Linked DNA regions of Oryctolagus cuniculus. The protein of the gene in region 2 interacts with the protein of the main gene of each other region in a biochemical or structural test. Links are inferred from orthologs where the notes say so. Each region holds a gene or a part of one and is shown on either strand. Other genes may lie near its edges.

Region 1 (3,655 bases), on a different chromosome or scaffold from region 2:
ACTAGGCACGCGGTGTCTTCCTGACATAATCCGAGTGGCATTTAAAGGGGATTCCTAACAGTATTGTGTATTTACCACTGGGATGCCAAAATCAAAGTAGGGGGTAAACTTCATGTCTTAGTCTATAATTACCAAAGCATTGCTATAGGAAAAAAATTAAGTATGTTATGTTAAAAATATTCTGAAACCATCTTGAACATAACTTATGGGTAGATGTAGGGTAGGCCTGACTGGTGAAAAATCTTTCATTAAAAAAACAAATCAGAGGGTGAGCCTTTGGCCTTAGTGACTGAGATGCTCACATCCCATTCTGGAGTGTCCGGATGTGTGTCCTGGCTCAGTTCCAAACTCTAGGTTCCTGTTAACACACACTCTGGGAAGAAGCAGGTGATGGCTCAAATAGTTGAGTCTCTTCCACCCATACAGGAGATCCAGACTGAGCTCTTGGCTCCTGGCTTTGGCCTTAGCTGTGGTAGGCATTGGGGGTGTGAACCAATAGATGGGAGCTTTTCTTTCTCTGTCTGCCTCTCTTTCAGATAAATAAATAAGTGTATTTAAACAAAATCAAGAAACAGCTTGATTCGAATTCCAACCAATTCTTCTAAAATTCAAGAAAGTGCATTTTAATATTTTGAGGGGGAAACATTTAATTCAACTCAAATTCTGCTGATGCAAATGTATATAATTTCATGGATTCAGATTTATAGAGCTCAAAAGACAAACAAAACTGAAATTTACAGTGTAAGTCTTTCTTTTTCTTATTTTTTTTTTAAAGATTTTATTTATTTATTTGAGAGGTAGAGTTACAGACAGTAAGAGGAAGAGACCGTCTTCCTTAGTTGCTTCACTCCCCAGTTGGTTGCAACGGTTGGAGCTGCGCCGATCAGAAGCCAGGAGCCAGGAGCCTCTTCCGGTCTCCCATGAGGGTGCAGGGGCCCAAGCACTTGGGCCATTCTCTACTGCTTTCCCCTGCCATAGCAGAGAGCTGGATCAGAAGAGGAGCAGCCGGGTCTTGAACAGGTGCCCATATGGGATGCCAATGCTGCCGGCAGAGGATTAACCTACTGCGCCATGGCGCCGGCCCCTACAGTGTAAATCTTGAGATAAAAACAAGCTCTTTCCCATGCTATACTTGTTTCAGCTATATTTCCCCAGATTTCCTCACTAGGCTGGCTATCTGGCGGGCCACCGCCTGGTACTCACCTGTCAGGCTGTCTGGCCGAGGTGGAACCATCCTCTCGTAAATGTCATACTGCTGCTGTCCGAATTGCTCCATGTCATGAACAGTCCTTTGCAGTGAAGGTCCCAGATGCTGTGGTACGGCAGTCATCCCTGAGCGTTTGGGGGACGATGACCCCACCTGGCCTTGGGATGGGGAAGCTACTCGAGTCTGTGCATCCGTGAGGGTCAGCGGGGACCCCACTCTGGTGGTGGTTTGGTACTGAGGGGTTGGTCCGTTGGGATTGGAGGTCTGCCGGGAGGTGACTGACCCAATCCGGCGCACGGCTGTTGGGGAGGCGGGTCTCTGTGAGTACGGAGAGGCTGCCCGCTGAGCGGGCAATGTGGTGGACGAGTATGCACTGGGGTTCAGAGGTCGGGAGTCCGTCACCGATGGAGAGCCAAATCCACTACCCAGAGAAGTTCTCAGTGACCCCCTTGAAGGAGACACGCCTGTGCTGATAACATAAGAAGGAGACTGCGCTCTAGATGGAACTGAACTAACTCTTCTCATGGCCCGATTGGCTACTGATGGCTGATGGAAGGGGGGAGAAAAGAGAATTGGGTTTATCCAGGGTTTTGTGTCCATTACAGAAAAAAATGCACATAGCTCACTACAGAATGTGAACTCACTGCTTATTTTAGTCATCTAAGTTTCTCTTCCTTTTCATGCCCTAGAGTTAGATCTTAATTTTTTCTCACAGTGCTCTTCTTGTAATGCATTTTTTTTTGGTCGTTTAGTCTGAACACTAAAATGAACCAGTAAAGACAACTGAATACATGTGATATTCCTTTTTATTTTTGTCTTTACATTTTTTACCTTCTACCTATGCCTTTTTCACAACATACACAATGTTTTATTACAAGTGTTACTAATAACTTATTTGTAAGGACCACAGGTGCAATGTACTTATTTCATTCCCTGTGAGCCAAAGGTAATGTATTTTTGTAAAACAGAAAGGATTAAAAAAATACATCAGTTTAAATGTAGCCACAGGAGAATTTATAATTGTCCAGTCTTTCTGGGCTGGCCCCATTAACAAAAGGAATGTGTTCTTTAAATGTGCAATAAGTGAACATTTGGGTAGACTCTGGCTCCACTGCTCTTCCCTGTGAATTTACTTCAAGGGACAGCTTGGCTGCACAGGTGCTCTAGCCTAATTTGTTGTTCCTTTGGTTTAAGTGTAGCTTCTACTGATTTTAGCCATTTCTTTTTACCTTCTCTGATCTGTAGCACTTAGCATTAGCTAAGCAATTTTGAGAACATGTAAAGAAAGATTCCCCCAAATCTGTCCCAATAGGAGGAATGCTCAAGGTCTTGGCTGAGTTCCTGGCTCAGCAAGCTGGAAAAGACCTGAATAGGAATTGAATATTTCTGCCATGGCTGATTCTGATAAGAATCCATAGGCTGCTGCAAACATAGCAGGTGGCAGATGCCTTTCTTGATGCTGAACAACAATGAAGACGAACAGTATCTGGACCATATAAGTGGGTGAGGACATGTAGTGCGGGGGAAGAGGCATTGGGAAAAAGGAGAGCAGGATAAGAAATGGAAACTGACATAAGGGCTCCAGGTTACAGGCCCAGGACCAGGGTGCCCTGTTATCTCCTGATTGCTAGAGTCCATTTGCCATCAACCCCTTCCATTTTTAATTGTGACAATAAGGAAAGAAACAAGGATAAGAGATGGACTTTGTACACTCTTTGATGTCCTAAGAGCATATATGCTTTGCTGGCAGGTGACACAAGCAACTGAACTGATTGAAACACCTGCTCTGACACCTCAAGTGTGCTCAAGTTCCACAATTGTGGGAAGACAATAGCCTTGAAGAAGCAAAGCTGAGGAGGCAAGAGGACAGTATGTAAACAAAGCAAGAACGATGATAAGTTAAAAAAGGCAAGAAAGATGAAACTTAAAATTTAATAAGCAGTTGGGAAGTTAATATGTGTGCTGGGGTAACAACAGTGCTAACAATAAGAAAAGACAATCTCACACGACTTGTAGCTATCAAAATGGAACAACATTTGACCTAGATAGCTAAACAATGTGTTGCCAAAACTACATACAAAATAAGTCTTAGAGACCCCTTTGCTACATAATTTCTCAGCTTCAGGAACAAAATCAATTTACTGCAAGTTAAAAAATAGGTAACATAATCACTGTGACATGGAAAAACGTAGTTGCTACAGTGAAGGTAATTGCTGACAAAAAGAATGACTTCAGATCTGCTGACACAGAAATTCACCTAAGTCGATGAACTCCCGTAGGCATTTAGTCCAAAGCGTCTCAAACTTTTCCACTAAAGAATCCTTAAAAGCAAAGGAATAAATGTGTATTTGAAGGACTGGGAGGGCAGCTTGGAGGAGCTTGCTCGATTTCCCATGTGCTATATTTGTGTTTGTTTTAATCCAAAAAGGTTTCTTAATGTTTCTCCTA
Region 2 (3,655 bases):
TAAAGCATATTTTGATAGTAATATAAAATCAGTATACTTTTGGTTAACATTGTCATGGTATATCTTTTTCTACTTACTTTTGATCTTTTCATAGCTTAAAACTTAAGGTATATCATTTAAAAATTTTTTTTAATTTTATTTTTTAAAAATTTTTTGCAGGCAGAGAGAGAGACAGAGAGGAAGGTCTTCCTTTTTCCGTTGGTTCACCCCGCAATGGCTGCTGCGGTTGGTGCGTTGCGGCCGGCGCACCGCGCTGATCCAATGGCAGGAGCCAGGTACTTCTCCTGGTCTCCCATGGGGTGCAGGGCCCAAACACTTGGGCCATCCTCCACTGCACTCCTGGGCCACAGCAGAGAGCTGGCCTGGAAGAGGGGCAACTGGTACAGAATCCGGTGCCTCGACCGGGACTAGAACCCGGTGTGCCGGCGCCGCAGGCGGAGGATTAGCCTAGTGAGCTGTGGCGCCAGCCTGTATATCATTTTTTTTTTTAAACAAAGCTGTTTCCCATTGCTTGCCTGCTTGCTTTATTTATTTTCATTTTATTTGAAACACAGAGACAGTGATGGAGAGATTTTTCATCTGCTGGTTCACTAGCCAAGGCTAGTGAACTGCCAGGGCTGAGTCAGGATGAAAGCCAGAAACCAGGAATTCAATCTGGGTTTTCCACGTGGATAGTAGGCACCCAAGAACTTCAGCCATCATCTGCTGTCTCCTAAGTTACGCTTTAGCAGAAAGTCAAATCAGAAGCAGGGCCAGGACTTGAACCAGGGACTGCAACTTGAGATGTAGCTGTCCTCTGTAGCACCTTAACGGCGGTGCCAAATGCCTAACCCAAGTGTTTCTTTTGAAAACCACATAATTTGGTTTTTAATTAAAAAAAAATTTTTTTTTAAATTTTTTGACAGGCAGAGTGGACAGTGAGAGAGAGAGACAGAGAGAAAGGTCTTCCTTTTGCTGTTGGTTCACCCTCCAATGGCCGCCGCGGCCGGCGCGCTGCGGCCGGGGCACCGCGCTGATCCGATAGCAGGAGCCAGGTACTTCTGGTCTCCCATGGGGGTGCAGGGCCCAAGGATTTGGGCCATCCTCCACTGCACTCCCTGGCCACAGCAGAGAGCTGGCCTGGAAGAGGGGCAACCGGGACAGAATCCGGCGCCCTGACCGGGACTAGAACCCTGTGTGCTGGCACCGCAAAGTGGAGGATTAACCTAGTGAGCCGTGGCGCTGGCCCCATAATTTGGTTTTTAATCAACCATTCTGCTAATCCTTTTTAGTCATTGTCTTTTTTTTTTATTTTTTTTTTTTTGACAGGCAGAGTGGACAGAGAGAGAGAGAGACAGAGAGAAAGGTCTTCCTTTTGCCGTTGGTTCACCCTCCAATGGCCGCCGCGGCCAGCGCGCTGCGGCCAGCGCACCACGCTGATCCGATGGCAGGAGCCAGGAGCCAGGTGCTTTTCCTGGTCTCCCATGGGGTGCAGGGCCCAAGCACCTGGGCCATCCTCCACTGCACTCCCTGGCCACAGCAGAGGGCTGGCCTGGAAGAGGAGCAACCGGGACAGAATCCGGCGCCCCGACCAGGACTAGAACCCGGTGTGCCGGCGCCGCTAGGCGGAGGATTAGCCTAGTGAGCCGCGGCGCCGGCCTAGTCATTGTCTTTTAATCTAGCATTTAGTCTAGCAATAAGACAACAATAGTCTATTTATTGAAATATTTAATTTATACCATATCTTACTACTATTATCTTTTTGCCCACCCATTCTTTGTTTCTATTTGCTCTTAATTTTTTATGTCAATTCTATTTTTTATCCTCTGTTAAGTAACAGGTATGCGTTCTTTCATCCTTGTAATGGTTTCCTTAGAGCTATGCCACCCAATTCAGTGGCCACACATGTGGCTATTTACATTTCAAGTTCTAATACATGTTATCTTATACTTCAGTAATGCTGCTGCTTACAGCATTAATCACATAGTGCTTACCCAATCTTCACCACACCCTAGAAGGTGAGTATACACACTACACTTATCTCCATTTTACAAATGCAGAAACAGACAGGAGCAGGAAATACACAACAACAACTGGATTTGTATTTAGAGGCTATTACTTAAGCATTGACACTTACATAATATTTTCCATGGATTTGGGTTTAATAAAAATGGAGATCGGGTAAAGTTGTGCAATCTGCAATCTCTTTATGGCGTTTCCGGACACATCGAGGATACAGTGTTTGCCCTAAAATTGAGTAAAGCAGTAAACCAAGTGAACCATTTCTCTTCACTTACATCAAAGGTACATTTCCAACAGGCACAATAACTAGAGTATGCTTACTCACTGACTGTAAGCAAATCTGTCAATCCTGTTAGCAAATTTTAGATGGGAAGTAAAATATAAAATTTATGGGTAAATAGTTTTCCACTATTGAAGTAAGAATTTTTTTTTTTTTTTTTTTTTTGGACAGGCAGAGTGGACAGTGAGAGAGAGAGACAGAGAGAAAGGTCTTCCTTTTGCCGTTGGTTCACCCTCCAATGGCCGCCATGGCTGGTGCACTGCGGCCGGCGCACTGCGCTGATCCGAAGCCAGGAGCCAGGTGCTTCTCCTGGTCTCCCATGGGGTGCAGGGCCCAAGCACTTGGGCCATCCTCCACTGCACTCCCGGGCCAGAGCAGAGAGCTGGCCTGGAAGAGGGGGAACCGGGACAGAATCCGGTGCCCCGACAGGGACTAGAACCAGGTGTGCCAGCGCCACAAGGCGGAGGATTAGCCTAGTGAGCCGCGGCGCCAGCCTGAAGTAAGATTTCAGAAAGTTATAAACAGTTCTCACACTCCTGGTGTTCAAAGATTAGTATTCTCTCAATGGCAACCAATATAGGGTGCTGATCTTTAATTTTGTAAGACAGAGCATTTAAAAAAAGACCCCAAACTACTCTCATCATAACCATAATTTCATAAAATATATGATCAGCAGAAGGTAAAAGATCCTAGAAAAATGGGTAAATATCCTAAACTGAGTAAGTTTAAATTTGTAAAACCTCACTACCATTATTCTCCTTCTCATTTTATGTGGACTGGCAAAACTTTTATCATAAATTGGCATCTGGAAATCTCAATTCTGACTTTAAATAACTTTTCTGACATGCTTAAATTCACCGACTAGACCACTTATGTTTGCTGTCCTCTTATCTCTTCCATTCTTTTTTTTTCTTTCTTGAGATTGCTTTTGCTCTCTACAAGGTTTGCACATGAAACAGTTTACTTGGATTTGCTGTTTACTTTCCTATTACTAATCTGAAGTCTGGATAATATCTATCTTTTATCTAGGCTAAGAGTTTTGAAATTAAAAATTTTATTTTTCAAGAAATAAAACATTCTCCAAAGCTGGTTTTAATTTCCTTCTCTTCCCTTCTAAAAAGAAACCAAGAGATAGTAGCTGTATTATTCTCATGCATGTTTTTGTTTACAAACAAGCATCCATATATTATTATTGGCTGTTTTATACTTTCTAACATTTACATAAGCAAACTTTATAATTCACTATTATAATTTTGAGACTTAGCAATGTGGATACACCTAACTACTAGATATACAAATTTATGCACTCTGGCTGTTATATCCCACTGCATGAATAAATGAGGGTTGACTATCCATTCCCTTCTGTTGATTCCA

The links.
Region 1: the proteins of DLG1 (region 2) and PKP4 interact in a test that uses a peptide from one of them, tested with the Homo sapiens proteins (2 studies listed by IntAct, with this or other methods). The link is inferred for Oryctolagus cuniculus from reciprocal best matches to the Homo sapiens genes DLG1 and PKP4.

The regions. Positions count from the first base shown.
Region 1 is NC_091434.1:83,369,563-83,373,217, forward strand, and holds part of PKP4 (plakophilin-4), read right to left. Parts: intron 1,754-3,655; coding exon 1,204-1,753; intron 1-1,203. UniProt on the Homo sapiens protein: Plays a role as a regulator of Rho activity during cytokinesis. May play a role in junctional plaques.
Region 2 is NC_091435.1:83,519,780-83,523,434, forward strand, and holds part of DLG1 (disks large homolog 1), read right to left. Parts: intron 2,227-3,655; coding exon 2,117-2,226; intron 1-2,116. UniProt on the Homo sapiens protein: Essential multidomain scaffolding protein required for normal development. Recruits channels, receptors and signaling molecules to discrete plasma membrane domains in polarized cells.